Linked DNA regions of Canis lupus familiaris. The protein of the gene in region 2 purifies or fractionates together with the protein of the main gene of each other region. This does not show direct contact. Links are inferred from orthologs where the notes say so. Each region holds a gene or a part of one and is shown on either strand. Other genes may lie near its edges.

The links.
Region 1: the proteins of CHEK1 (region 2) and HAX1 purify together in Homo sapiens (affinity purification with mass spectrometry; 3 studies listed by BioGRID and IntAct, with this or other methods). This does not show direct contact. The link is inferred for Canis lupus familiaris from reciprocal best matches to the Homo sapiens genes CHEK1 and HAX1.
Region 3: the proteins of CHEK1 (region 2) and CUL1 purify together in Homo sapiens (affinity purification with western blotting; 6 studies listed by BioGRID and IntAct, with this or other methods). This does not show direct contact. The link is inferred for Canis lupus familiaris from reciprocal best matches to the Homo sapiens genes CHEK1 and CUL1.
Region 4: the proteins of CHEK1 (region 2) and CUL4A purify together in Homo sapiens (affinity purification with western blotting; 4 studies listed by BioGRID). This does not show direct contact. The link is inferred for Canis lupus familiaris from reciprocal best matches to the Homo sapiens genes CHEK1 and CUL4A.

Annotation. Positions count from the first base shown.
Region 1 is NC_049228.1:42,954,953-42,963,031, forward strand, and holds HAX1 (HCLS1-associated protein X-1), read right to left. Parts: upstream 4,399-8,079; 5' UTR 4,291-4,398; coding exon 4,238-4,290; intron 4,172-4,237; exon of another isoform or gene 4,026-4,171; intron 3,773-4,025; coding exon 3,474-3,772; intron 3,344-3,473; coding exon 3,150-3,343; intron 2,278-3,149; coding exon 2,226-2,277; intron 2,099-2,225; coding exon 1,992-2,098; intron 1,867-1,991; coding exon 1,776-1,866; intron 1,628-1,775; coding exon 1,542-1,627; 3' UTR 1,375-1,541; downstream 1-1,374. Other genes in the region: UBAP2L (ubiquitin-associated protein 2-like), read right to left, coding at 5,756-5,851, 6,672-6,722, 7,117-7,314, 8,053-8,079. UniProt on the Homo sapiens protein: Recruits the Arp2/3 complex to the cell cortex and regulates reorganization of the cortical actin cytoskeleton via its interaction with KCNC3 and the Arp2/3 complex. Slows down the rate of inactivation of KCNC3 channels. Promotes GNA13-mediated cell migration.
Region 2 is NC_049226.1:8,896,650-8,903,930, forward strand, and holds the end of CHEK1 (serine/threonine-protein kinase Chk1), read right to left. Parts: intron 6,377-7,281; coding exon 6,268-6,376; intron 6,082-6,267; coding exon 5,904-6,081; intron 5,642-5,903; coding exon 5,510-5,641; intron 2,824-5,509; coding exon 2,722-2,823; intron 1,513-2,721; coding exon 1,417-1,512; 3' UTR 639-1,416; downstream 1-638. UniProt on the Homo sapiens protein: Serine/threonine-protein kinase which is required for checkpoint-mediated cell cycle arrest and activation of DNA repair in response to the presence of DNA damage or unreplicated DNA.
Region 3 is NC_049237.1:1,658,155-1,665,435, forward strand, and holds part of CUL1 (cullin-1), read right to left. Parts: intron 5,837-7,281; coding exon 5,729-5,836; intron 5,649-5,728; coding exon 5,542-5,648; intron 3,037-5,541; coding exon 2,988-3,036; intron 2,625-2,987; coding exon 2,493-2,624; intron 1,291-2,492; coding exon 1,173-1,290; intron 38-1,172; coding exon 1-37. UniProt on the Homo sapiens protein: Core component of multiple cullin-RING-based SCF (SKP1-CUL1-F-box protein) E3 ubiquitin-protein ligase complexes, which mediate the ubiquitination of proteins involved in cell cycle progression, signal transduction and transcription.
Region 4 is NC_049243.1:60,778,134-60,786,166, reverse strand, and holds the start of CUL4A (cullin-4A), read right to left. Parts: upstream 4,301-8,033; 5' UTR 4,284-4,300; coding exon 4,130-4,283; intron 3,640-4,129; coding exon 3,524-3,639; intron 2,868-3,523; exon of another isoform or gene 408-2,867; intron 1-407. Other genes in the region: PCID2 (PCI domain-containing protein 2), read left to right, coding at 4,819-4,854. UniProt on the Homo sapiens protein: Core component of multiple cullin-RING-based E3 ubiquitin-protein ligase complexes which mediate the ubiquitination of target proteins. As a scaffold protein may contribute to catalysis through positioning of the substrate and the ubiquitin-conjugating enzyme.

The DNA.
Region 1 (8,079 bases), on a different chromosome or scaffold from region 2:
GAGCCAAAGGCAGACACTCAATTGCTGAGCTGCCGAGGCATCCTGGTTCTGTGGTTCATACCCCATAGGAAGATAAATTCTTGATGGATTTAAAAACTTAAATGTAGGGATACCTGGGTGGCTCAGTGGTTGAGCATCTGCCTCCAGCTCAGGGCATGATCCCAGAGTCCTGGCATCAAATCCTGCATTGGGCTCCCCACAGGGAGCCTGTCTTTCATGAATAAATACATAAAATCTTTTTAAAATAATAAATAAATAAAAACCTAAATATAAAAAGCAGAACTAATAAAACTTGTAGAGGATAAAGAAATATTTTTTTAACCTTGGGTTGGGGATATTCCTAAGATATAAAGAGCACTAACTATAAAGAGAAATATAAACAACTTCTTGGGTAATAAATCAACTTCTGTTCACATAAAGATATAATAAAGAGAAAAGACAAAATTTCATGATTATATCTCTTTGTTCTTATGATTTGCTTCCTTAGAAAAATCCCTTTATTGTCATTTTAGTGAAATTTCAAGAAAACAGAGGTAAACAAATGTTTAAGATCTGCCACTATAAACCACAGTGCTAAAGTTTTGTTTTTGTTTAAAGGTTTATTATTTGAGAAAGAGAGAGAGAGACTGAGCAGGGGGGTAGAGTGGGGAAAGAGTGGGAAGGAAAAAAAAAGAGTGGGAAGGAGATGGACAAGCAGACTCGAGCTCAGCATGGAGCCTGATGCAGGGCTCAGTCTCATGACTGAGATCATGACCTGAGCTGAAACCAAAAGTTGGATGCTCAACCGACTGAGCCACCTAGGTGCTCTTAAGAATTTCTTTAATGAGAAAAAAAAAATCTAGCAACGTTTGTCCTAGTTATATTTTCTCCAACATACATGGGGCGGGGCGGGGGGGGGAATACATACCCACTAAAGGAAAAAATATTTGCCAATGTATTTCATCAAATTACCTCGTGAAATGTCCGATCATAGTGATCCCACACCTGGGGAAGCAGGTGTCCCTACATTTCCACACACACTTCCGCTTGTTAGACTCTAATGCATCCCTGTGTAAATTTTCCTGGAATTGTCTCTAGGTATCTCCTCCATAAGAATACTCATTTTCTACCAGTACCTGACCAAATTATCCTGATTATCCTGACCAAATTAACCTGATTATCAAATCAGGGTTGGGAAGCAGAACAAAAAATTAAGAAGTAAGAATACTGTGGGCCAAAATAATCTGGGAAGCCCTGGATGGTACTACAAAGTAGAAGAGCCTCCACTCACCCCGCGCAGCAGGCGGGTCCCGCCGACTGGAGAGAGCTTGGGAGGCCTTTAAAAAAAAGGGGGGGGGGGGGAAGAACAGCCTAGACAAAACTAAGACCAAGGAGTTAGCATAAATAAAGGTTTTATTGGTCAGTTTAGGTGAGTCACATACTGACATACCCCCAACTCACTGTTCCATACACCCAAGACCCTGAGGTGGCAGGAGAAGCTAAGCCCACTGACAGTGAGCGAAGGGTGGAAAGGATCTGAAGGCCTCTGAGGGTTAACAAGGCTACCGGGACCGGAACCAACGTCCTAGAAATAAATCCAGGATGGAATAGGCATCATCCAGGGCTGGAGGTGTTGGTGATTCTGGATCTAAGGAGAAAGTGATACATACAGACACACTAAATGAAAAAGAATGGGCAGTGGACAAGGAGAAGAATATCAAAGGCTGAAAAAGTATGTGTGTTTTTTGCCCAAGGAAATAAGAGATGGACCTTTTTGATTCACAAACTTTACTTACCATCTCTAGGACTGCCATCTGCTTCTTGATGGGTTACTGTGGTCTCTGTCCGGCCCTCACTATCCACCACAGTCCGGCGCTCCTCTACTGTCTACAAGGAGAGACCCCAACCATATCTCTAAGATCAATAGAAGTGAGCTCACTGGTTTCTTTATATAGATTGCTCTTCCATGGCATCCTCTGGCCACATTTCCCTTTACTCCTCTTCCAACTCACCCCATCTGGCTTAGTGATCTTAGTCACCGTGACACTCTTGAAATAGGATTTGGGCTGGGGCTGCAGAACTGGGCCGAGGCCTTCCTGGGAAACCTGCGAATCAAGATCTAGAAGGGCAGAGAGGAAACACGAAATCAAAAGTCCAAAGGAAAAGAAGGGGCCAAGTGTGACAAGAAGAAATGTAAGGGAGAGAGAACAAAGGGTACGTTAAATGTCCCCTCCCTCCAGACTCACCATTGTCTTCTCTGGCTCTAGAACGGGGGGTCACAGGCCACATATCATCAAACTGTAGAAGGCAAAATAGGTGAAATGATACCTTTCAATCTGAAACTTGAGAGGTCACAGAATCCAAAATATTCCTAAGTTCCGTAACTACTTTTCCCCTGGGACAGAGGATTCCACTCAGGATAGCTTTATTTACTCACCCCTTTCTCTGTCCTACCCGTTCAATCTATCTTTCCACCAAAAGGCTCTCCTCAACTGACACTCTATCCTATCCAACAATCCGTCTTGTCCCAGAATCATACAGACTGGTGATTTTTTTTTAAGGTTTTACGCATTTGAGAGAGACAGGGAGTACAGGAGGGGCTGAGGGAAAGGGAGAAACAGACTCCCCACAGAGCAGGGAGCCCAATGTGGGGCTGGATCTCAGGACTCTGGGATCACGTCCCTGCATGGAGCCTGCTTCTCCCTCTGCCTGTGTCTCTGCTTCTCTCTCTCTGTCTCTCATGAATAAATGAATAAAATCTTTAAAAAAAGTTATATGGCAGCCCGGGTGGCTCAGCGGTTTAGCGCCGCCTTCAGCCCGGGGCGTGATCCTGGAGATCCAGGATCAAGTCCCGCATCGGGCTCCCTGCATGGAGCCTTCTTCTCCGTCTGCCTGTGTCTCTGCCTCTATCTCTCTCTCAGGAATAAATAAATAAAATAAACCTTTTTTTAAAAAGTCATAAAAAAAAATAGAGAAAAAAGCTGAACTCCCACCCTCATGCGCCCCCTCCGCCCAATCCTACAAGGAGCTTAATAGAGAAAACAGATAAATACACTAGACAGTGGAGAACCTAGGATCCCAACCCAACTTTGCTAGATTCTGACAAGCTCCAGTCTGTGCTTTATTAGTTACCTCCTGCAGGCTCTCACTTGGGGCCCAGAAGCACTCACCAGACCAAAAGGTCTCTGGGAGCCCCAGTCTGGTGCTGGTTTGGAGGATTCACTTCTTGTATCACTCTCCAAGACCCCCCCAAAGATCCTGGGCTGGTGACTATCTGGATACTTAAGCATTGAGTCCCGAAGTGTCTGTCCCTCCCGTCGTCTCTCACCAGGTGTCTCTGATTCAGGACCAGGACCTGGAAGTTCTGGGAAAAGGGGGCAGATGGATGCTGGGGGGGGGAGAGGACCTGGGCTCCTCACAGCCTTGATATTATCATTCTTCTCACACTTCCCACCCCCACTACTCTCTTCAGGCTCCTGGCTTCACCCACTAACCCAGGAGAAACCAGAGGTGCTCCAGGGGCAGCCACACACCAGAAGGCCGGGAAGGCAAGGTCCAGGCCTCCATCTCGCTGAAGATGTTATTAAAATCACGAATCAGGTCATCAAAGCCGAAGTTATCATGGAAACGCATCCCTCCTGGAGTGAAGGTGAAGCCAAAGCCAAATTCCTCCGGGGTCTGGGGACCCTCAGACCTCGAGCTCCCATGGCTCCACGGGGCTGCTTCTTCCTCCTCTTCCTCATCGTCCTCATCTTCATCTCGAGTCATCCCTCCAAAAAAGGGATCTCTGTGGCTGGGAGTGAAGGTAGATTGAGCACCAGAATCTCAGCCACACCTTCGGCCGCACAATCAGCTCCGGGTGGCCGAGGAGCCAAGGGCAGAGGTCTGCGCACCGAGGTGCGGGAGTGAGGCTGGCGGGGCGCCGTCGGGGTTCCGTCTGTGTCAGGGTCGGTCCTCACCTCGCGGGCAGGCCGTGCCCCCGCCCCCCGCGCCCCACCCCCGCCCGGCCCCCACTGTTTCTCCCGCCCAGGCCCCTGTTGCATCACCCCAGACTGGAGAAAGGCTTAAACTGCGGTTAGTCCTCCTCTCAGCGGCCGCCCAGGTGACCGCCGCGGGGCGAGTGCGCAGTGTGCTGACTTCTGTCCTCTCCGCAGCTGGTGAAGGAGTGACGAAGAGGACGGCTTCCCAAGAACTGGGTGTCAGAGATCAAGCTCCCCTCAGGAGACCCCACCCTCGTCCGACCCCGACCCACTCTAACCTCCGAGGTCCAGAAAGGCCGAAAAAGCCCCGAAAGAGATCAAAGAAGCTCATCCCCGTTTTGGGACTCGAACCTGCAGACCCCACCGAGGCCCATTCGCACCTGGCCGCAGCTGCACTCCGCCGCCGGAAGTTGAGAGCAGCGTCGGGCCGCCTGCCGGAAAGCAGGCAGGCGGCGCGGCACGCTGTCGTAACACGACCGTCTGCTCGGCGCAGGCGGCGCGGGGCGCCGCCCGGTCCCGAGCCGCACCCCCTGCCCGCGAAGGGAGCGGGCGAGGGCCCGGAACCCTAAGCCGCCTTCCTGCCCGGGACCGGCCGCCGCCGCCAGGGGGCAGCCTCCGCCCAGCGAGCCGGTGCGGCAGGTGCTCCAGGCTCGGCGTTTGAATCCACGGGTCGGTTGGGGATGCTCGGACTTGGCGCTCCCCGGCCAACGGGCATGCGGTGACCGTGACCGATACTAGCTGCCCTAGGCAGGCTCTGCAGCCTGCAGGCACAGGCTTGGCAAGAGAGCCGGGGAAATCCCGTAAGCTTTGCCGGGGGAGGAGTTTGGAGCTGTAAGTAACCCTCTGCCTGCCCCCTGACTTTCAAGCCTTTCCTTTCCTGCGCCCCCACCCTCCCTGCACCCCGGCCCTGGTCTCCTGACCCCTCCTTTTCAAGGGGCCGGCAGCACTCAAGAAGCAGGAACTGCATGCCCCCCCACCATTGTCCTGGACCATCTACAGTACACGACCGCTCCCCAAACCCACTCTCCAGCTTTCTACCCTGTGTCTGCTGTCCATTCCTGTCACAGCCTGAAATCTGCAGAGGAAGCAGCTTCTGGAGGAAATGAAAATTTGCAGCAGCTCCTTCTAGGCTGTGAAGCCCCTGGGGAAGGAGGAGAGGGAATCCCAGCAGGGCAGGTGAAGGCAGAAGCTCTCTTTATTCTGGGGCCTCCAGAGCCTGCCAGGGGCCCAGCTGGAACGGAATATTCATTCACCGAGCTGGCTGACCAGACTGTCTTAGAATGAGCAAGAACGGGCAGAGGCTGAAGGTAGAGGTTTTCTTTTTATATATACAAGACACATTAATCCATTAAATTCGAGGACACAGTACAAAAAAAAAACACTTCAACTAATTCATCTGACAATGCTGTTCATATTCATGACGCCATTTTGTTGTTGTTTTGTTTCCTAATAATAAAGGAGGAGACGTAGGGCTGTTGGGCTGATATATATTTGGGGGTCCCCCTGCCCCACCTCACCTATACACCACCAGGGTGAACAGGAGGAGAAGGAAGGCGGGGCCCACAGCAAAGTTTCATAATCTTGAATGCAAGGGGGGAGGAGGAGAGGAAAGGGGGAAAAAAAAGGAGAAAATACAAATCCTATAATACATACAACAGAGTAGGGGTGGTATGGGGACGGGACAGACATGAAGCTGAGGCATAGGGTGGGACACTGGAGGTAGGGGCAGCGGAACCCCCCCTTCCTCTCTCTCTGATGCCGTTTCCGTGGTTGCCGGGCAGGAGGGGGGTCAGGCCTCAGTTAGCCCCCCAGCTGTAGCTGTTGTAGGCAGACTTGTTGGTCTGGGGCTTCTGCGGGATGGAGCTGGTCTGGCTACGTTGCCCGCTGCCCGTCTGCAGGGAATGGGATGATGAGGAGGAGGAAAAAGGTGTCTGGTTAGTGGGACAAATCTGTGACATCTGCAGGTAGAGCTCTGGAAACTGTCTTGCTCTCCCACTCCCCTTGCTTAGAAATGACTCTGAAGTTTACTTCCCCACCACAGAAAATTTGGTTTCTATAGGTGCTAGAGGACCTGTGACATGGAAGAGAGCATTTTCAAGCTTTGAACAGGGGAACAACATAAAGACGGCAGAATACCTTTTGGAGACAAGACAGTGAATGAGTTCTCCCCACTTTCAATTCCACTTTCTCCCTCCACTCCCACCTACACTGCTCTGAGAAAAGGCTCTCTCTCTCTAGAGAGAATCACAGCCTCTTGGAGAGGAGTGATCACACGGAGATTTCATTTTCATCAATCCCATGAATACCTCAATTTGGAAAGCTGTCTTATCCCAGCTCCTCAGCCACCTGTGATGGAGGAGAGGTCACTTGTACCACCCCAAGCTCCCCACCCCTACCACAGAGCACAGCTGAGAGCCCACTGCAGGTGAGGTAGGAGAGACAGTCTGAGGCCCCAGGCTCCAGAGGCTGCCCCAAGAATCCTTTCCATTCCAGTAACCAAGTGCTTCCAGAGTCAGGGAAGGGCAGAAAGAAAGAGGGCGCTGGGGAGGGAGGACAAGAGAGGAATGGGAGGCCAGAGAGCTCAGCGAGGTGTCTGTGTTTGTGTGTCCTGATCTGTGACCGTGCAGCCTTTCCAAGTTCCCTGACGCTGTGGAGGTGAAATGGGGGCTGGAAAGGAGTGGGTTCAAGCACATCATCATTCAGTTTCATTACCTGCTCCTCCTGCTGGCGCTGGCAACAGAGAATCATCTGCAAATATGGTAGCTGAGGCAGAACCAGGATATATGGAAAATAAAGGGACAAACTTTGACAATAGAACTCCACCATTAGAAGGGAAAGCTACAATGTCAGGGAATGGGGGAGGCTGGGAGAGGTTGGAGGGGAGGCGTGACCCAGGTCTGATGGGATGAGGCAGCTGTGTTATAGGAGGCAGAAGAGAAAGGCCCCAAAGGAAATTTCAGCCTGGCCCCTTCTCTGACATCTCCTCTGCCGGCAGCTGGTGTTATGTGCACTTGTGTGTGTATGTGCTGTGTGCCCATGGCTGGCGCTGGGAGGGGTAGGTGAAGGTGGTTGTGAGGAAGGGTAAGAGAAGGAAAGGGAGGCAGTTGTAGGGGACAGGAAGGAAGAGGAAGGGAGAGGAGAGGGGGAGGGCTATTACCTGGCCATCCTGCTGCAGGTGATGGTGGAGGATCTGGGAGTGCGGCTGCTGATGGGGGGTCAGAATGTGCATAAAGGGGGCAGGTGGGTAGGCAGCAGCTGTGGCCGGATTGATGGGCCCCCCACTTCCTAGGGCTGAAGGCAAGTTGAAGGAGGCAGCAGGAGTACCGGAATGAAAACCTTGTTTCTCAAAGGACTGCTATCCAGAGGGATGGGGAGAGACAGTAAAAGGGGTCAGCAAACCAAGCCCTGGAGTTTCAGAGCCCAAGTCCCCCACCCCCCAAGAGCAGTATGCAGCAGAACAGCAGCACTAAAGGCACGTGAGCGGGTCTGCTCTGTTCTCCAAGGGCTGTGGGATCCTGAGAGAAGTACTCACTCATTCTGATCTTTGCTCACACATAACCCAGGGGTGCTGACTCCCAGCTGTCAGCACAGCAGGAGAGGACAGCTGTGAGCGTGCTCTGGGACTCTACCATCACAAACCACCCCCACCGTGCAGCTCGGGCATCCTGGTGGCAAAGGTCTCGGTCACCAAGTGCTCCACCATAACTCCGAACACTGCATGTATCAGGCTTAATAGTTCAGATGCACTCTTCCGTTCCCACCTTTTGTTTTTACAAAGAACGGAACTAGTTTCCCTTCATTCCATTCTCTTGGAAAGTTGCAAAAAGGCTGGTGGTATGGAAAGAAAGGACAGTTGCCACAGTAAGTCTCAAGACACATCACAGCCACCTGCCACGCCTTACCTTCCTGGCACACTTCTCTTGCCTTTCTCAGAGAGCTAAATTTAAAGTTCTTTGAGAAACTGAAATCTAGAGACCACTCATCTTCGAGGACAGGTTTCCTACACCTCTTGGGGTCGTGCTTGTTCACTGGACTTCTGTCACTGCAACACCACCTCCTCTATGCCCATCTCTTTCCACTTCTAGGCACCTACCTGGGTTTTGGAGTACACAGAACCCGA
Region 2 (7,281 bases):
AAAGCTTAAGATAACTTTGTTTATGAGAGTTACTAATGATAATTTTCAAGAACAAAATTTTTCATATTTGAGAATTTACTAACTCAACCTTAGGAACCACCTAACCGTTCAAATTTTTTTCTCCTATGGTGTTAACACAATCACCAGTATAAACTAATAAGCGATAAACTCAAACCATAAAATTTCACCTTCTTAGGTTCAGACTAAGATGATCAATTTTATAAACTACCAAGAAAAAGGAATAGAGGTCCCAAACCTAATACATTCAAAAATTAATATAAAATTTTTTTAGGATTTTATTTATTTGAGAGCGAGATACACAGTGTGAGGGTGTGAGCAGGGGGAGCAGAGGGAGAGGGAGAAGCAGACTTTCTGATGAGCAGGAAGCCTGATGTGAGGCAAGATCTGGGACTCCAGGATCATGACCCGAACCTAAGCCAGATGCTTAATCAACTGAGCCACCCAGGAGACCCCAAAATTAATATAAATTTTATTAAAAGAACAGAGTCTTAGTAAATCTAATAGTAAAAGAATTAGGAATCAGATCTATTTCTCTCACAGCTTATTTACTTCTCCCTCCCTCTTTTATTCCTTACTACCTAGAAGCTTGGTTACCAAGAAGTCCACAGAGTTGGCTATTCATTTTCAAAATAGAATTTATTTCTGTAATAAAGAATTAAAATATGGCTGTGAAAGTAGAAAATAATATAGAAAAATATTTAAAATGTGCAATAGTAATTTTAGAGTAAAGGTAGTTAAGCATTAGAGTCCATGCTCAACTTCTACTTGAAAGACCAACCAGTATTTTATATATTAACTACACTGGAAAAAACATACCTAGCAATTTCAATTAACAGTTATACTCCAAAAACAGATTTATATACTTGGTAAGGCCCTTGTGAAAATATAAGTATAAATTTTGAGGATATATTTTTTGAAGTTGGCTTCACTTTATAGACTGATAAATCTACTGTCCAAAAGTCACAGGACTGCTTTTATTACTAATCCATCCATATAATTAAATCAACATAGAGGAAACACCTACTTTTTTGGATAAAACCAAATGTTCTGTTAACAATATGACAAGAATATCATCTTTCATTACAGTGGTATAAAAGTTGGTAAGTTCATGTATCCTCAAAGCTTGGTTTCCATTACATGGGTCTTTGGAAACTAAACACAGGATGAGAAATATCTAATGAATTCTATCCATCCATTCCCCAAAGCTTTACTTACAATGAAGATGTAAGGTATTGTTTGTATGAAGAACATACCAAAAAAATTCAAAGTGTTTGGCTAGAGGGAAGACAATTCTTCAGAGACTATTGTTTGCAGTTTGCAGAATAGGATAATCTTCTCTAGGAAGAATAATGTCAACATAGCAGCACTATATTCACCAGGAATCCAATGGATCTCTCATGTGGCAGGAAGCCAAACCTTCTGGCTGCTCACAACATCACTCAGCTTCCCTTTAATCTTCAGGAAGTGTCTCTTGAATTCTAATCCATCTCCCTATATTAGGAATAATATCCAAAAAATAATATCAAAAAAGAGACTGCCATAAAATCAAACTCTCTTTAGTGGCAAGTAGAGATAAACACCCTTAGATATGTCCAACTACAATTCCCTTCAAGTCCTCTTCTGAAGACTAAATATCCTAGAAGATATGGCTACATAAACAATTTCAACTTGATTTTGGGCCATCACTGTTCCCACCATACTGAGCGTAGAGAGGCAGAAACAATGGCATCTTATCTCTGTCCAGCATTGGTATCTATGTCTATGAACCTAAATCACTGTTTTCCATAGGTACTAGGGGTTTATAACCCAAAATTAAGCTACACAACTACATTGAAGTCTTGTCCAAATACTGTGGTAACAAAGCCAGTGATTCAGTTATGAGAAGAAATTCATTACACTAGGATCTTAATAATTTAATTTCATACTAAGCATCTGGACAATGCAGCAAATTTCCAATTTCAAAATGTGACCTAGTTCTCTAATCTCCTTTAGAACCATATACAGTATCTCAGGAAACATAGAGAACACTATTTTGCTCTTATATATCAAGGCCAAACTATAACCTCAGAACCAGTAATTTCTAAAGAAATAATCAGATATGTGAACAAGACTCTATGTATACAAATATTAATCACAGATTTACGTATGACAGATAAAGGTTAATTATATTGTACATTTTGACAAACATAATTGTTATTAAGATATATGTGGATTAAATAAGAAAAAGTTTAGAATGCTTTAAAATATTCAGGGTAATTACTGGTGGACAATATAACAGGATTATTTTTATTTTATTGTTACTTATTTACATTTTCTACAATAAAGCTTTTATAATAAGGAAAATGTCATTTGAAAAAAATCTGTATTTTAGAAGGATAATAACAAGAATGTTCAGAAAACTGAATGAGAAAAAGCAAGTTACCATATATTTACAAATGCCATGTATATACAAATATAATGCCATTAAAAAGAAATCTCTACATAAGAGCATTTCCATATAACACATACTAAAGAAGTAGTAAGACTACCATAATGAAATACAGTATAAAATCTCTCTATTCTCTCTGGATAAGTTTAAACTTGATTCTTATTTTATCCTTTATACATGTTTTCATATTTTTTAGGTTTCTTCAATGAACATGTAATACTTCTTTAATAACAGCAAAACAAATTTTTTTTAAAAAATGTTGTTTGACATACCTTAGAGAGCCGAAAGTCAACCAAGATCTTCTCATCCATTTCTACCAAATTCACTTTGAAAATCAGCTTATTGTTTCTCCTATCAGTTGTTGATACAGTAACCTAAGGCAATAAAAATAAGATTAGTGCAAATTACAAAAACATTTGTAAAACTTCTCATTTCAAGGAATGACCAAAAAAAATACACCAGTGTACCACAATTGTGCAACACTGGAACATAATGTTCTGGGAAAGAAGATGCTTAATACATATATTGCTGGTGGGAATCTGCAAAGGTGCAGCTGCTTTGGAAAACCACTTGGCAGCTCCTCAAAAAGTTAAACACAGATACTATATGCCTTAGTAATTCCATTAGCAAGTTATATACCTAAGAAATTGAAAACATATTGTTGTGAATTGAACTATGTCCCCTCAAAATTCATATGTTGAAGCCCTAGCCCCTCAGATTGTGACTGTATTTAAAGACTGGGCCTTTAAATAGGTAATAAGAGTTAAAATGAAACCACTTAGTGGGCTCTGATCCAATATGACTGATAGCTTTATAAGAAAAAAAAAAAAGTGCTGCCCGGGTTGCTCAGTGGTTTGGCACCTGCCTTTGGCCCAGGGCGTGATCCTAGAGACCTGGGATCAAGTCCCACGTGGGGCTCCCTGCATGGAGCTTGCTTCTCTCTCTGCCTATATCTCTGCCTCTCTTGAATAAATAAATTCTTTACAAAAAAAAAAATTTTAATAAAAAATTAGAATACAGAGAGAGAAAGATACCAGGTACACATGCACACAGAGGAAAGGCAAGATGAGGAGGCAGCAAGAGGCAGCATCTGAAAGCCATGAAGTGAGGCCTTAGAAGAAATCAATCCTGCCTGGGATGCCTGGGTGGCTCAGCAGTTCAGCATCTGCCTTTGGCTTAGGCCATGATCTCGGGTTCTGGGATCGAGTCCCACATCAGGCTCCCTGCATGGAGCCTGCTTCTCCTCTCTGCCTGTGTCTCTGCCTCTCTTTCTCTATGTATCTCTCATGAATGAATAAGTCAATAAATCCTCTTTTAAAAAAAGAAAAAGAAGTCAACCCTGCCGGCACCTTAATCTCAGACTTCAGTTTCTAGAATTGTGAGAAAATAAATTTCTGCTGTTTAAGCACCCAGTTTGGATATTTTGTTATGACAGCCCTGGCAGGCTAAAAACACATTAAGTTCATACAAAAAACTTGTACAAAAATGTTCTCAGCAGCATTATTCATAATAGACAAAAAGTAGAAACATCTCAAAAGTCCATTAACAAGTAAATGGATAAATAAAATATTCTATCCATATAATGTTGTATTCTATTATTCTCCCATAAAAAGGAATGAAGTACTGACAAATGTAAACAACATAGATTAACCTTGAAAACATTATGCTAAGTAAAAGATGACAGACACAAAAAGCCATTTATATAATTCCATTTATATGAAACATCCAGAATAGGCCATCTATAGGACAGAGAGTAAAGTGGCTGCCAGGAAATGAAGGGAAGAAAGAATAAGGAATGACTATTAATTCGTATGGAGTTTATTTTGGGGACGATGGAATGTTCTAGAATAAAATGACGATGGTACCACAATCTTGTGAATATACCAAAACCACTAAATTGTACACTTTAAAATAGCTAAAATGACGATTTTTAGGTTACCGTGAATTACATCTCAATATACCTACCTGATTAAAAAAAAAAAGTAAATTATCTACATAAGTGAGAGGAAAATCAGGCTGGTCTCAGATTTCTGCACAGTAACAATTTCCCCTAATTTTAATTTTGAAAGCTTACAAAGCTATTAAATAAATAAAAAAAAAACCCTGAAAGAATCACCAACTATATACCCTTTGTTGGTCTTATCAACCTAGATAAGTAGGTTTACTTGTCTTTTTTTTTCTTTTAGTTTTTCAAACAAGCTATACAAGACATACACTTCACTTCAACATGTTTCTCCTGTGAACAAAGATCCTCTTCTACAAAACTACAATATTATGATAACAACCAAGAAATTTGGCACTGATTCAAAAACATTATCTAATATAAAAACCATATTCAAATTTCCTCAATTGTTCCAATAATGTCTTTTATAGCTTTCACTTCTTTAAAACCATGATCTAGTAAAAGATCATGTCATTACATTATTTGTCAGGCCTCGTTAATACAGAATATTCGTCTAATTGTTTTTCATGCCATTAGGTTTTTGAAAAGCCTAAAGATGGACTAGAATTTCAGTATTACAAATATGCTATAATAATATAAAACAAAAATTGGTGGTGGGAGCAGGGGAGATAGAAGAAGTATGGGATTGTTAATGTATTCATCTTTCATAGAAGGTAATCTTTGTTACTCTTACAATTTAAGGACATACAGTTTTCAAGAACATGACTTGCGTCTCTTGATATTTTTTTTTTTTTTTTTTTTTTTTTTTTATTTATGATAGTCACAGAGAGAGAGAGAGAGAGAGAGAGGCAGAGACACAGGCAGAGGGAGAAGCAGGCTCCATGCACCGGGAGCCCGACGTGGGATTCGATCCCGGGTCTCCAGGATCGCGCCCTGGGCCAAAGGCAGGCGCCAAACCGCTGCGCCACCCAGGGATCCCGCGTCTCTTGATATTTTTAACAAACTTAAAGAAGACTTTCAATACTATTTCTTAAGGTAAGTAACATTTTACTTAAGTCTTTTAAATTCCAATTGCTTTTTTAAAAAATATATACTGATAATGATCATTTTTTACTCAAATATTTACATTTTTCTTCAGGAAAATCAATGAAACATACCTGATTCATACAACTCTTTTTCCACTGATAGCCCAATTTCTCACAAGTCTCTTTCAGGCATTGATAAGATTTGTCTGCATCCAATTTGGTAAAAAATCGTGTCATCCTTTTCACCAAGCGCTGCCAAGGGTTCTACATGTCAAACAGAGGAAACCTGAATAAATCTGGTATCACCAAAAGCAGTCATATCATAGCTATTGGGTCTGAAAATTTTTTTGTGTGACTAAAGATTCTTATATAGGAAAGCATCCTCTTATCTCTTCCTTAAAAAAAAATCTATATACGCACAATATTAATACTATATTTCTAAGATTTATACATTAAAACAAAAGCCTTTATGAGGAAAAAACTAGAAGTTTCTCATCATTTATTTGAAAAAACTAAATTCCCTTACCTGTGAGGATCCCGGGGTGCCAAGTAACTGACTATTCAGGAGCATATGATCAGGACATGTGGGTTGGGAAAAACTGATCCCTTGTACCAGCTTATCAATATATGAAGGGCTAGTGTCCCATACGGAAAGACCTGTCCGTGGTTCTGGCTGGGAACTGGAGTACTTCACATTTTCTTCACTGAGGCATTAAGATATGGGGAAAAATATATCTTTAGATAAAACCAATCAGGCCTTTCTTATATCACATTACCATTCTCACACTGATAAAAAATTACATTCATTATCAAGAAAAAATATATACATGCATTATTTTTATGGGAATATTACATACAATAATTATTTGGTCTTTATTGATTTATCTTACCTAGAGGCACTGTTCACTGGAGAGAAGTCCAAATTGGATTGAATGTGCTTAGAAAATCCACTAGGAGACTCTGATACACCACCTGAAGTGACTCGGGGCCTCTTTGCTCCTAAAAAAAGAAAACATAAATACAAATGTTTTTAAACCACATCTAAATCCATTTACTCAAAACAAAATAGTTATATGACAAATAGTGGCTCTCCATACATGATTGCATAAGAAATGTGGTCATCATAAACTTAGGAGGACTCCTGTGTCAAATTACACATTTCACAAATCCTGATTTGTATGTTGCCAGTGTGGGATTTCACAATAAAGTCATAATTTTATTTTATTTTTTTAAGATTTTATTTATTTGACAGAGATAGAGAGAGTGAACAAAAGCAGGAAAAGAGGCAGAGGGAGATGCAGGCTCCCTGCTAAGCAGGGAACCTGACACAGAGCTCAGGTGTCAGGACCAGGATCCAGAGATCATGACTAAGCTAAAGGCAGATGCTTAACCAACTGAGCCACCCAGGCACTCTCTCCCCTGGCAAAACTTTACTGAGAATAATTATTACAAAGAAAATGATGCCACTGTAACTTCTGTGGTTAATACCCTTAGCTGGATCCTCAATACTGATAGTCCTATGTTTTTCAGTCAGTTTCCTCTCCCTTTCTCCATAATGACTGCTTCAAAACTTCTACATTCTTATCAAATTCCCACAACCACCCACCCTCCAGTTCCTTATTACGTAGCACAGGATACCATCTCCCACTGCACAAAGAAAATAACGTCATTAGAAACTCCCTCAACTTGCCATTAATAAATCTGCCAATTTACTTGCATTGCGACTCATCCTTCCCTCCCTTCCATGCTCCCATCCAATGCCCATCCCTCTACTCATACCTGAACCCCATACCTTCCTATCTCTTCGGGGTCTTGATGCTCCTTCATTCCTTCTCTCTTATACCTTCAGCCTTTTTCCCTCTCAACTGGAACTGTCCCTAAACCATTTAAACACACTTATATTT
Region 3 (7,281 bases), on a different chromosome or scaffold from region 2:
CACGACCCGGAGCTTAGCACTTGGATACTGAAATCCACTGGGGCGGGAATGAAAGTGCGGGAACACAGTTAGTCTCAGAAACCCAACAATGCTGCTGCTCAAATCAACGTGGGCTGCTTTGCATGGAAGGAAACACACTGACTGAAAAACCCTGCTGCGGTATGAACGGCAGAACTGACCATATTTCAGTGAGACTGTTTCACTCAAGTACAATTAGTAAAAGGTGGAAAGAGCCAGAAACTCTTTTTCTACAGAGAGAGGCAGTCTTTCATTTCACTTGTAGCTCAGACTGAGGACACCATAGGGCCGCTCTGCTTGGGTCCACTGAGGCCCCCGAGCTCGCCCAGCACGGCTGGCACCGGGGCCCAAACTCAGGAAACAGAAGCCTCAAGCGCCAGCGGCTCACTCCAGGGTGTTCTGTGCAGCACGCACAACTGCAAACACACACACACACACACACCCACTACGTATGATACCTAACCTGTAAATTGTAACAACAACTGCATCATCACATAGCTAAGGAATCCACTGGCATCCCTGCCACATTTAACAGTGGAATGGCTCTTCAGTTTCGGGGAAAGGTAAAATTCCCATTTTTTGCTTAAAAAGACAATACTACCATATGATGATGTCAGCATCACCTGCCGGGTGCCACCCCGCGGACCTGACAACAAGAGCGTGGCCTGGCGCCCAGTAGGGCCTCATCCCCATGCCAACCTGGAGCCGAAATCTCAGGTTAGTCTGACTCTGTGATCCACACAGCCATCTGCAACTCTTTCTCATAATTAATAAATAAATAAATAAATAAATAAATAAATAAATAAAATAGAGAGAGAGAGAGAGAGAGAGAAAGCTAGAATGGATCCACACTAAGGTTAAAGAAATTTACTAAATATTAAACTGTGTGGAGCCCGGAGCTGGTAGCTGCCCAGGGTGGGATGGCCATGCCGCTGGGGCCCCTGGGAAAGGCTGACATGCTCTGTGCCTGCCATCTCCTAACGACACACAGGAGTCAGGAGGATCCCGGGCTTCCTGTTTGCCTGTCCCGGAATTTCTGATATGCACTGACCACCCTTAGTATTTTGTCATCTCTCTCGTTTGCCACAAAGGACATGAACTTCTCTGAGAACACTGCCCGTAAAAGCAGCTTACACACGCTCGTGGATACTCACAGTCTAGCGGTTCTGAATTCGTCAGGTGCTTTTTGAATTGCTCATTCAAATCTTTGCTCACGCCAATGTCTTGAAACATCCGCTGAAGTTTAGAGGTATATTCAAAACCACAAGCTTGCTGAAATGAACCCAGATAACCATCTTATTAATTTCTACAGAAATAGAAGTGTATACAAGGAAATCTGATGGAAGTCATACAACTGTACGAGAGCTACTAAGCTAGGAGTAACACTGAACCACATCTCACGGGGTCAATATGTACAGATTCAAATTAATACACTGCCCAAAATATAGCCATAGCCAAGCAGTTAAGTCTTTTTCACCCAGTAACTTTCATTTGAGCATCTAGGAGCAAGGATGTCTAACAGAACACACAGATGACCTATTTTATGTCTCTATTCCACTACTGGGGGGCTGAACTCTGTGTCCCCCAAACTCCTATGCTGAAGCCCTAACCCCCAGCGTGATGGTATTGGGAGGTAGGGTCTTGGAGAAATGATTGCCAGATGCAGTCATGAGGACAGAGCCCTCCTGATGGGATTAGGGTCCTTGTAAAAAGAGGCCAGAGTCTGCTCTTGCTCCTCGCCACATTGGAGCACAGCGAGGAGGCGGCTGTCACCATGGTGGGAAGAGAGTCCTCACCAGAAAGCGAATCAGCCAGCATCTGGATCTTGGACTTCCAGCCTTCAGAACTGGGAGAATAAATTTTTAGTGTTAAAGCCCCCAGTCCATGGTGTTTTGTTACGGCAGTTTGAGCAGAATAATATACCCACATAACTAATTTCAGTCGAAGTGAAATAGGTCTAAGACACATCACAGCACTCAACAGGTTAGCAGGCACAAGCTCAGCGCAGAGGTGGCTGGATAATGAAATAACTGCTCAACGATCAAGTAAAACGCTGTCTTCCTGCAGGTACAATCGCAGACAGTGAACTAAACCCAGAGCAAAACAAACACAAACCAACTCAAAGCCAACCACATGCAGGTGGGCTGAGCCACCCTGAGTGGTTCTGGTGTGTGAAGACAGAGTGGGGACGAATGTGCGGAGTAGGAGATGCTGCGGTGGTGAGCACGGCACAGCCGGGTCTGACGGGACAGGAGGCCCCTCCAAGAGCAGCATGGATGGGTTGGCAAAGCATGTGAAACAGGGAGGGGAGGCCTGACCGGTCACAACCCCCCTGTAGCGGAGCAGCGGGGCTCATTCCATACAAACTCTTTGTTACCTAGACTAGCGACTCTGCCCACTGACAACCTGCAACAGCTAAGATCTTTCACGATGACTTAAAAACTGGATTTTTCTCAGGACATGATCAAATTTACCTTTAATTTTGAGATCATGCTCGCCTCGGCATCATCACTGGCACTGTTCTGATGTACGAGTCTTTTGGCCAGCATCTTTGCGTAGAATTTCTGAAACACGTCTTTATCCTCTATATACTTGAAGACCACCATCTAGTGAAGTCACCAAGAGAGCAGATTTAATGCACTAAACACACGCCGGCAGCCGACACAGGTGCTTTATTTTGACTGGCCTGTGTGCCAACGTTTACAGTGGTAAAAAAAAAATACCATCCACAGTCTTGAAATATTTTCATCAACCCCTTTAATCATATTAAGTTGGTCTAGACTTAGTACTAATGAGGAAAGTACGAGTGCTAAAATTAATGACTCAATTTAGGGAGTAAAACCATAGATATGAAGTAAAATAAATGATCCTATTAATTTTCACATTTCAGATGCCCTATACAAGTAACCTTAAAACTTGGGAGATAAACTGCTACTGGAAACCAGAGTGATTAGTAAGAAGCGCCTTACCACTTGGTTGAGCGTGTCTTCTAGCTCTGCTTCTTCTGGATTCTTGGAACTGGAAAAAAAAAAAAGGTATACTGTTTTCAAACAAATCAGTAAACATTTACTCAGCAAGTACCACTGAGCCAAACTTTTCTCACCTATGGCAACGTGGCAATCTTACACTGAAACTATCACGGAAGAACATGTTTACGAAATAATCGTTTTGGACATGCAAGATGAAAATCAACAGAGGATACTTATTAAAGTCTGCCCTGAACATTCAAGCTTTCCTTTCGTTTCTGAAAGGAAATCTACCTAAACACAAAATAAAGGAACTTTACTTTGCCAACTGCTTCCTATAATATGCTTTAATTTAACTCTGAAAAAACCAAAAGCACATGTAGATTTCTAATGGCCTAAGCATTAAAGAAAACAAAACTGTTTAAAGCCACTAAAGCACTGCCTTCCTCTGTGGTTCTATGTAACAGAGGGCTGCCCTTAACAACTAATTCTTTCTCTTTTATGAACAAGTATTAACTGAAAGGTGACTCTAGGGTAAATGAAATTTTTAAGGTTTTATGAGTCCTTCATAGATAAGATCCCCATAAGTTCACATGAAATGATCCAGCTCATGATCCAGCACATGAAATGACCAAACAAGCTCTGGAAAGGTATTTCTAAGAAAATCCAGTCCTAGTCCTCACACAGGTAGCCCAGGGTGGTTTTTCTCTCTGGAAGAGTTTTCTTTCTTAGCTCCACTCACTAGTGCGTGCTCACTGAAGCAACCCTAGCATGTGTCTGCCATTCTGTCTGCTTTGGCAGCATTAACTAAGAAACAACACACCAAGAGACTTGGTGAGGGCCTCTTGTGAAAAGGCAACGTATAAAAAGGATAATAAGTTTTTTGCCAAACTGAAGGTCTGCTAAAGCATGTTATTAAAATATTGAAAAAAAAAAAAATAAAATAAAATATTGAGAATTTTCATATAATCTAGCCTAAAAAAAAATGAAATCAGGTCAGAGGAGGCATTCCACTTTAAAGTCCATTTTTATTCTCGAAGGACTACAAGAAAAGATCGGACTAGAACGGCTGAATTATACACTGACCAGACTTGCAATAAATAGAAAACCACCCCCAAATACCCCATTTTCACCAGCCTTGGGGACATGGCTTTCTGGCAAAGTCAGAGAGACAGCTAGTGACATTATCAAACGTTTTCCCACGTCTGCCAGGAAGACCACATATACTTCCGTTAATATAGTAAATTACGTTAAATTTGCTACCACCAAGCCATCCCTACATTCCTAGGACACTATACTATGTTCTGGAGAATTATTCTTTAGTTCTCTAATAAATTTAGTCTGCTAACACTTTACTTAGGATTTCCCCAACTCTGTTCTGGGACTTGTTTCCAGTGTTTTTCTTGGTACATGTAGGTATCCTCAGTGTTTTCTGCAGTGGGGTTAGGTGAGCCTTTAAGAGATGTTTATTCATCTCAAAACCAGGACAACATGGGGGCATGGGAAATGACTGCGTTTGTTGATGGATTGCTGGAAAACTGAAACAGAAGCTGAGAATACCCAAATACACACAACCTGGAACCCTAGAAGCACAACGCAGAGGAGAGAGCCACAGGAGATCATGGGGCCTCTAGCTCTTAATAGACACACACACACAGAGGAGGAGGAACAGGTGAGAAACATGATGGTTTAAAAAAAAAAAAAAAAAAAAAAAAAAAAGAATACGGGGGCAGCCCAGGTAGCTCAGCAGTTTAGCACCGCCTTCAGCCCAGGGCTTGATCCTGGAGACCCGGGATCAAGTCCCACATCGGGCTCCCTGCATGGAGCCTGCTTCTCCCTCTGCCTGTGTCTCTGCCTCTCTCTCTCTCTCTCTCTGTCTCTCATGAATAAATAAATAAAATCTTTAAAAAAATAAAAATAAATAAAGAATACGAAGGGCGCCTGGCTAGCTCAGCTGGTGTAGGGAGCGACTCGATCTCAGGGTTGTGAGCTCAAGCCCCAATCTTTAAAAATATATAAATGTAAATATACACATACACAAAGAATACGAAACAGCAGTAAAACGAATTGATCACATGAAGATAAATGTTAAAAGTGCACACGATAATTCAAATGCCAGAGTGCACAGAAAGTCTTGTTTCAGAAAACAGCCAGTGGGAGCTCCCACAGGAGATCTTCCCTGGCATCATGACCGAGGCTCACAGAACATCCGCAGGGAGTACAAGAAGGACACTTACTCCTTCCTTCCTTGCCACCCTCGTAACCACTGCTTGACCAACCTGTGAACTTCATTTAGCTAAATAAATTCTATAATTCTCAAAGCCCACAGTAACATTAAAAAAAAACAAAAACCCACAATAAAAACCCACTAGAATTTATAACATGAAGTATCTTTTAAGGAGACAAAGAAGATGTATTTGGTTTAAAGTGTTTTCTCAAAAGGTACAAAGATGACAATCTAAAATATGTAAAATATAACAGGAAGTTAGTTCTCATATATAAGCAGAGACTTTAAATAGATTTACTAACAAAAAAATCCCTACAAAGTCACTAATACCTTTTCTTCAACAAGGAGTCACAGTATCGAGCCAGCAACTCAGGGGATTTACTGGACGATTGGGCCATTTTGGTAACTGCATTGTTGTTAATGAAGCGACCGCAGGCCTGTGGGACATACAAAACACAGTCAGAGAACATGTGGGCCCCCCCCCACGCTGCAGCAAAGACGCTGTGCTCGCACCCACCTTGTCAAGTGCGGCCACGAAACCAGCATCGTTGTTGAATGCCGACATTACCAGGGCATTGTATTTTTTATGAACATCCAACACTGTCTGTACATACATCTTGGGGTCCTTGGGAGGGGAAAAACAGATAAAAGTTTGTTACTGGGGATTAAATGATATATTCATGTGTTACTATAAAACATTCTGAAAGGTTCAGAAATTTCTTCAAAGATGCTGACACAGAAGATCAAGAAATAGCTTTGGTTCCATCATCAAAGCACATAGGATACTTTGCTTATATACATAATAAAATAAATTCTCTGTGCTTGAAATTAAGTACTGATTTCCAGCTTATATAAAAAAGAGTGATTCTTTAAATTATTTGAAAAATCAAAGGACTGCAGGAAACACAATTTTTTTAAGTGACAGTTTGCTTGGCCCATTTTTTCTGAAAAATTCAAATTTTAGGCTTCGCTGGAAAAACCAATCAGCTAGCATGATCAGTAATCAGCTGGATACTTAGAGTTTAGGGGGGCAGGTGATGTAAGAACAGTGTAAGATTGGGGTGCCTAAGTGGCTTAGTAAATTAAGTGTCTGCCTTCAGCTTAGGTCATGATCTCAGGGTCCTGGGATCGAATCTCATGTGAGGCTCCCTGCTCAGCAGGGAGTCTGCTTGTCCCTCTCCTTCTGCCCCTCCCCTCGTGTGCTCTCTAATAAATACAATCTTAGAAAAAGAAAAAGAAAGAATAGGGTAAGATCAAGGTCCGAGGAAGTACGCAAGGGTGTAAGTGGGTCGGGCAAGGCCGAGAGGTCTGACTCGCACACCTGACTGCGTTGCAAGACTGGATGGGACAGGCCAGGGCCAGGGAGACAGGCAGAGCACTGGAGGACTCGGCAGGATGGGCAATTAGGAGCTCTGGACAAAGAAACAACATAATGGGAATACAATGCCCAGATCAGCACAGGAGAAACTCTGGCAAGGATGCACAAGGAAGACAGGAAGGACCAGGAGGGTAGGGAGTCAAGGGAGACAGGCCTGAATGATAAAAACAGAGTGGCTGTCGCTGGGAACTCACCACACACCCGTGGTGTGAGGATCCATACAAGGACTGTCACCACCACACTGTGATATGAGGTTGGTGCTATCTGGATTCTTGCTCAACAGGCGAAGAAACTAAGTCATTTGGGCATCTGGCCAAGGGCTTCAGTGATGGCTGTCAGGCTTGACCCCAAGCAGCCTAACTCCCAAGCCAACATCTCCTCCACAGCTCTGAGAAGGGAAAAGGCCCAGATGACAGGACCAGTCCACAGCTGCAGCAGCATGGACAGATGTCACGTGCCAGAACAACGCCAGCAGCTGGCCCCTTCACAAGCAGGAGGCATGAGCGTGGGGGCCTCACATGGCTGCCAAGAGTCTGTATATTTCTCCCCCCCCCCTTTTTTTTTTAAAGATTTTATTTACTTGACAGAGAGTGAGAGAGCACAAGTAGGGGGAGTGGCAGGCAGAGTGAGAAGGAGAAGCAGACTCCCCACAGAGCAGGGAGCCTGATGTGGGGCTCGATCCCAGGACCCTG
Region 4 (8,033 bases), on a different chromosome or scaffold from region 2:
GTGCCTGGGTGGCTCAGTCAGTTAGGCATCCAACTATATTGATTTTGGTTCAGGTCATGATCTTAGGGTTGTGAGATCGAGCCTAGCATCAGGCTCTACAGTGCACGTGGAGTCTGCCTTCAGCTCAGGTCATGATCCTGAGGTCCTGGGACTGAGCCCCACGTTGGGTTCCCTGCTCAGTAGGGAGTCTGCTTCTCCTTCTCCCTCTGCCCCTCCCCCTGCTTGTGCTCTCTTGGTGTCTCTCAAATAAATAAATCTTAAAACAAAAACAAAAACAAAAAAACAAAAAAACCCAAAAACAAAAAACCAGTTTTCAAAACACTGCACATTGGCCTATGGAAGACAAAGATCTCTGGGAGATGGGAAACAAGCCCCAACACTATGACTACCTACATCACTCTTTCCAGGCTGCAGAGCAGGTGCCTTGAGCTGAGGCTCAAGTCTCCAAGATGAAGGTCCAGAGGGAAGAGATGAGAGATGCATCTAGACAGGAGCTTGGAGATGAACGAGGAGCCCTCGTGGGTGCCCCTTGAGGATTCAGCAGAGCACTGACCTATATGTGAGGAAACGGTGAAGGCCAGGGAAAGAACCACCGAAAAAGTTTAGAGACAACAGTGTCTAGTGCCCAGAGAGAACCTGAAATAGCACATTTCCACAAGACATCAGGCACCTAATCTCATTCAGAAGATTGTCCCGCTCAATGGGGCTATTATTAACCCTGGACAAAATACTGCCCTAGTCCTAACAAATCTTAAAAGCAAGACTCTAAAAGATCAAACTGTTTCCAAATAATTTGTCTGCAATGAAGCTCAGAATATTTATAGAAATATAAAAATATCTATCGTAGTAATCAAAATTCATAATGTCTGATGATCAAAGATTATCCAACGGGTTAAGAAAAAACACACGACCCTTAGTGGGAAGAAAAAGCAGACAAATGTGGCCTGGAACTGACAGTAAAACAGCTATCATAAGTATATTCCCTATGTTTGGAAATTATGTAGTGACAAGGGAAGATACAGAAAAGATTCAAATTGAGCACCTGGACAGAAAACCAATGCACCAGAAAGAATTTCACCAGATGGCAGTCCTGGCAGATCAGACGTCACAGAAGATTAGTGAATCCAAAGAGATGAGTGACCTGAAGAGTTCTTTAGCCACTAAAGATATGTGCAGTTCACAAGCTCTCCACTAAGAAAGCCAAGATGGTTTCACTGGGAATTCTCTCAAACGTTTAAGGAAAAAAGAACACCAGTTCCATACAAACCCTTATAAGAAAGGAAAAAGAGGAAACATTTGCAACTCTGAGACAAATACACTACAAGAAAACAAGACAGCACTATTCTACGATCACAAATGCAAAAACTCATGAAATGTTAGCAAACTGAAACCAACAGTACATCAAAAATTCATACACCACTAGGCAAGTCAGATTTATCCAAGGACTGCTGGATGGTCTTACCAACTGAGACGTCAAACAATGCAAAGAACTAAAATAACAAAAGTCATATGATCATCTTAACAGTCATAAAAGAAGTCATCAAAATCCAACAGGTACTTCTGGTAATTTCTCAGCAAACTAGGAATGGAAAGGAGCTTCCTCAACCTGACAAATGGGTATTTTTAGAAAACAAAACAAAACAAAACACCACCAAAAAAATGCCCAACACTCAACATCATATTCAATGATGAAGGACCGAAGGCTTTTCCCACTAGGAGCAGGAGCTAAACAAGAGAGTGTGGGTTTACCACTTCTACTCACCACTGTTCTGGAGGTTCTGAGCAGTGCAGGGACACAAGACAGGAAATAAAAGGCATGCAGACTAGAAAGAAGTGAAACCACCTCTATTCATAGGTGATGTGATTGCTTAGGTAGAAAATCCCATGGAATCTACAAAAAGCTACTAGAAGCGAGGTCAGCAAGAGAGCAGGGTACTAGAGTGATACACAAAAAACAATTTCTATTTCTATATACTAGCAAGAACCAGAAATTAAAACTTATACCATACTACTGCTTGTAATACCACCAAACGTACGAAACGCTTAAGAGTATTTCATAGAAGATGTACAAGACCTACACACCAGAACCAGAAATCCTTACTGAGAAATCAAGGAAAAGCAAACAAAGCTGTGCCGTGTCATCAGTTGGCACGCCTGGTACCATCAAGACATCAACGTTCCCCACATTAATCTAGAATTTGACACAATCCTAATCAAAATGCTAGTAGGCTTTATTTTTTAGAAATTGGCAAACATCATAAAATTCATACGGAAATACAAAAGAACAGTACATGTGTACTCAAGTGAATAAAATTCCTTAAAAAATCGGATAATACCAAGTGTTAGCAAGAACATAGAAAAACGGAGCTCTCACGTACTGCTGCCCAGATACAAGATGGTATAGCCATTTTGAAAACAGAAAATGTCCTAAAGTCAAATGTACACTTGCCTTATGACTCTGAGACTACTTCTAGATATTTACCCATGTCCACATGAGACTTATTCCTTCAGGTTCAGAACAGCTTTATTCCTACCAACTGCAAACTGTCAGTTATCCTGGTGAAAGGCTGTAGCTGTACTCCCCAGCAACAAAGAAACAAACTACTGGAACTGGGTGCAGACAACTGCCCCACACAGGTTCCACCGATGAGACTTAAACTGGTCCAACAGACCAACAGCAAGGAAGTCAGTGATCCGCCAGGACCAGGTCAGGAGAACGAACTCTTTGAAGTGATGTAAATATTCTAGGGATCCCTGGGTGGCGCAGCGGTTTGGCGCCTGCCTTTGGCCCAGGGCGCGATCCTGGAGACCCGGGATCGAATCCCACATCGGGCTCCCGGTGCATGGAGCCTGCTTCTCCCTCTGCCTGTGTCTCTGCCTCTCTCTCTCTCTCTGTGTGACTATCCTAAATAAATAAAAATTTTTAAAAATGTTTTAAAAAAAATTCTGTATGTTACCATGATAACAGCATTTACACCTCAATATAAGTCACTAAAGTACAGGTTCTATGCAAATTATGCCTCAAAAAGTCGATCAAAAAATATAAACTCATACAAAGTTATTACAAAGAAGGGATGGATGTCCACCAAAATGCCAATAGCGGTCTTCCTTGAGTGGCGGGAGTACAGGTGGTTTTAATTTATTTTTGTCCTTTTTTGTGATGTCCATAGTTCTTACAACAAACAGTTATGCAAACAGAAAGTTTTAATTCCAATGTCTTCATAGAAACGGAGGTATCTATCACACGGTCATGCAAAATGTAGGTGGTAGGTAACGCACTAATCAACGAATGCTATTCTCTGAAAACCAGTTATCAGGAAAACCGGTCTGCTGATCAACGGAATACGTAAAGTAATGCTCCTTTTCCACAATTACGTTGGAAACGGAACATCTTCGGACGTAACAAAATCCGTTTCCGCGTCTTAACCGCAACGATCGGAAAATAAAGAGGAGGAGGGCCGCGTGGCCGTGCGGCAGCGACGGGGGGGAAGAGCGCCCGCGCGGGGTCCGCCTCGGCCCTCACCTGGTACAGCTCCTCCAGGTTGTACCTGATGGACGTGCTGCTCTGGATGGCTCGCACCGCCTCGTGGAGCTTCTGCCAGGTGTCCTGAGTGTAGTTGTCCGGCAGCCGCGGTCTGTCTGCGGGGCGGGGGCGGGGTGAGGGTCGGCGCCCCCGTCGCGCCCACGATCACGCTCACGGGCCCGCAGCCCCCCCGCTTCCCTTCCCGGAATGACCCAGTCCTGGGGGCCCCGGGCGCGGACCGGCCGCTGCGGGCCCCCGCTGCGTGGACGCCGGAGCCGGGACACAGCCGGGGCGCTTCCGGGGACCGGACACCCCTTCGCCGCCGCCCGCCAGGCGCCAGGCCCCAGGCCCCGGGACCCGCACTTCCGGCGGCCGGGGGCGCCCCCCCCCCCCGGGATTCCCTCTCCGTAGGACCGGCACTTCCGGCGGCCGGGAGCCCCCCCCGTCCCTCCCCCCCCCACCGGGAGCGGCACTTCCGGCGGCCGGAGGCGCCCCCTCCCCCCACCCCTGCGCCCCCCCGGGACCCCCTCTCCCCGGGACGGGCACTTCCGGCGGCCGGGGGCGCCCACCCCGCCCCGCCCCGCCGCCCCGCCGCCCCGCACCCACCTCGGAAATTCTTGATGACGAGCTTCTTGGAGCCGCCGGCGCCGCCCGGCTTGGAGGCCACGGCGGCCGCGGCCAGGGACGCGGGCTTGGTGAGGCCGTTGGTGTGCCCGACCAGCGCCGACAGGGCGCCCTTCCTGGGGGTCTCGTCGGCCATGGCGGCGGCCGGGAAGCAGCGGGCGCCCCGCCCCGTCCCGCCTCCCCGGCCGCGCGGGCGGGCGGGCCTCGCGTCAGCGCCGCCCCGGCCGCCCAACCGCCGCCCCGCCGGCCCGGCGCGACCCCGACCCCGACCCCGGCCCCGGCCCCGGCCCCCGCCCCGGCCCGCCCCCGCCCCCGCCCCGGGCCGCCCGGCGGCCGCCGCGCTCCTTGTGGAACGTATAACGGTCGAGGGGGGCGGCGGGGCCCAGCTTGCCCCGGGCGGGAGCCCAGGCACCCAGAGGGCGCGGACCGGGCGTCCTCGCCGGGAGGCGGTGGCGGATCGAAGCGCAGGCCGCGGCCTTCCTCAGCCCGGGCGCGCCGCCATCCCGGCCCGGGGCGCACGCTGCCGCGGACTCTCTTCCTCCGGAACCCGCGTGCGGGGGAGGCGGGCCTGGGGGGCGCGCAGGTCCGGACGGACCGGCGGCCGGAAGTGAGGCGGACGCAGCCGCGCGCGCAGGCCCCGCCCACGCCCACTTTCCGCGGGGGGTCCGGCCATGGCGCACATCACCATCAACCAGTACCTGCAGCAGGTGGGTACGCGGGGCCGGGGCGCGGGTGTGGGCCGGCGGGAGTCGATGCGAGAAGCTCCACCGGCGTCCGCTCGGGGGTGTGGCCGGGGGGGCGGTCCTCGGGGGCACCGTGAGGGCTTAGGGGCTCCTGTCGCCGCCGCCGCAGCCGCCGCCGCCGCCGCCCCCGCCCCGCCGCGGGCCTCGGGCCTCTCCTCTGACGGTGCCCGCGGGGTGGGCCTTTGAGAACCCGTTGGACTACAGGCCCTCGTTGGCGTCTTATGTGCGTCTTAAAGCCCTCGAGGGCTTGGGGAGGCGCAAGGGCGAGCCTGCCGGGCTCAGACCCGCGACCCCACGCCTCGAGTCCGGTCTCCGCCCGCCCTGCCGGGTCTGCCCCAGCTTCGGCCGCGCCCCTCGTTCCCGCGCCGGCGAGCTCTTACCGTGGTGCACGGCGGCCCCTAGTTCGCACTTTTCCTTGGAGGCGGTGCCGCGGCCGTCCAGGGGCAGCCGTTCCGACCCGAGCTTCTGGCCCCAGACGCCGAGCCTTTCCACGCAGCACTCCGGCCGGCAGCCTCGCCGCAGCCAGCCAGCGCTTTCGGTCCCAGGCAGACCCCCCCCAGATCTCGGGGTCGGAAGTGTCTCTTGAATCTTACTGACCCTGTGGGTTTGCACACGAGTCTGCTCCCTGTTTCGTACCTAACACATCCTGGGTCGGCAGCTGCCTGCGCACAGGTAGGTCTTTGTTGCCCCGGTCCCCGGGATTACTTCCCAGCAGCTCTCAGGTCAGGGCTTGCTTTGCTTTCACTCTCCCCGAAGCTTGCAGGTTCTCTTGTTGGTTCCTTGGATGCTCCTGGAACACACGCATTCCTGGCCAGAGACCAAGGGCTGGAGCTCAGCACAGCGGTGGTGTGGGGTCAGCCTGTCAGTGCCTGTGGGCCCGGAAGGGTGCCTGCACCTGCGTCAAAGAAGGCATCCACCCCTTGTGTGGCAGGTGACGAGCAAGCCTGCGTTTCGCTCAAGGGATGGGGGAGACATTGCTTCGCTGCTCAAAGGGACTAGCCACATCAACAGCCCTGAACAGCGGCCCAAGGGAAGAGCTAGTTGTCAGGGCCTTGTCTTCCCAGCGCTCACTTCCAGTTTGAGCAGCCCAGGGAGGGCTGTCCGTGCAGTGGTCGGCAGTCACTAGGCTGTCCCTGCCTCCCGTGAGGCCCTTTTTATTCAGTGCTTGGTGCTTCCACACGCCTCCAGTTTCTGTTTGGAGAGGACAGGTGGAGTTAATTTACTGTAACATTTTTTCTAATATTCTACTTTTAAAAATTGTTTTTAGTAAAAGATCGGTTTGTTTGTACAGCTCTCCCTTGAACAGTGTGGGGGTTAGGGACACTGACTCCCCCAAGCAGTTGGAAATAAGCCTATGACTTTTGGCTCACCAAAAGCTTAACCGATAGCCTACTGTTGGCCCAGAGCCTTACCAACCACAGAAAGGGTCAACTAGCCTGTGTTTTGTGTTGTGTTATCCACGACATTCTTATAGCCAAGCGAGAGAATGTTATCAAGAAAATGGTAAGGAGCAGAAAATACATTTACTGTGCCGTACAGTAAAGAGCCGTGGTGTGACCTGTCCATCAGGGGTCAGCTGCACTTTCCCCGCAACTGGGGCTCTTCAGTATTTCTGGGGTCTCTCTAAGGGCTGGTATTGTTTGGTGTTCTTCTTTCTTTGGTCTATTCTATAAACTCTTACCGCAAATGGCAAGTTACTTTTAAAAAACTATCTACATTTAAAATCGTAACTTTCGGGTAGTCCAGGTGGCTCAGCGGTTTAGCACTGCCTTCCGCCCAGGGCCTGATCTTGGAGGCCCGGGATGGAGTCCCACGTCGGGCTCCCTGCACGGAGCCTGCTTCTCCCTCTGCCTGTGTCTCTGCCTTTCTCTCTCTCTCTCTCTCATGAATAACTAAATAAAATCTTTAAAAAAAAATTGTAACTTTCCTCCAACTTTTTATTTTGAAAATTTTCTTTCTTTCTTCTCTTTTTTTTTTTTTAAGATTTTATTTAGTTATTCATGAGAGACCCGGAGAGGGAGAGGGAGAGAGAGAGAGAGGCAGAGACACAGGCAGAGGGAGAAGCAGGCTTCATGCAGGGAGCCTGATGTGGGATTCGATCCTGGGACTCCAGGATCACGCCCTGGGCCAAAGGCAGACGATAAACTGCTGAGCCACCCAGGGATCCCTTATTTTGAAAATTTTCAAATCTACAGACAAGTTGAGAGGAGAACATTGAAGACATGTATACCCTCACCTGGCGCACCACATTTGTGTACCCTTCCCCCCCCAGGCGTGTGTGCTTCTCTCCTGTGAGCTCTTGGAAAGGAGGTCGCTGCCCCCGTGGCCCTTCACAGAGCACCGAGGCTGTTGTGCTGTCTGGCTGCTGGGCTGGTGGCATAGCCGAGAAACGTAACACCAGTGTTTTCTGGTAGAGTCTGGGCTCCACATCCACCCACAGTACTGTTTGGAGCCTCTTTGTTACCTGTAGGGTCCAGTCAGGTCACACTCTGAGTATGACAGTCTTGCTCTGTAAAGTCTGTCATCTAGAAGAGTCCTCTTGCCTGTTTCTGGGAGCAGATTTGTTTGATGACAATTTTTTTGAAAATGTCCAGGGCAGTGGACTCATGGATGTGTCATCATCTACCTTTATGTGACTCTTTCTAGTGATTAGGTTTGGGCTCAGCTGGCCAGTGTAGATATCCTGTAGCCTCAGGAGGCTTGCATGGGTGCTCCGAACTGGATCACTGGGGGAAGGTGAGGCCCATCATCCTACTCCAGTGTCCGTATTGATTTGTAATCTGTTGGATGGATTGTGAGAGCCCATGAACATCCCGCTCCATACCCTTTCTAGGGTGATTGCAGCTTTCATTGGTAGTTTTTTCCCAAGCAGGTTATTATGTGAGTGTTTGCCAAGTGGTAATTCTCCCACTCTTTTTACATTTGTCAGCTACTACTTCATCTGTTAGAAATGCTTTTCCCTGTGCCCCTTTTAAGAAGTATCATTATAAGGTGGTGTTAATGCCAAGTTTTAATCCAGAACCAGTGAAATTATTCTTACTTTTTTTGAAGCTCAGCTTGTCCCACATTTGGCCGCTAAGAGTGCCTTCACACTGGTTTCTGGGGCTTTCTGACATGTGTGTGTCCTTCCTTGAGCTCTGCTT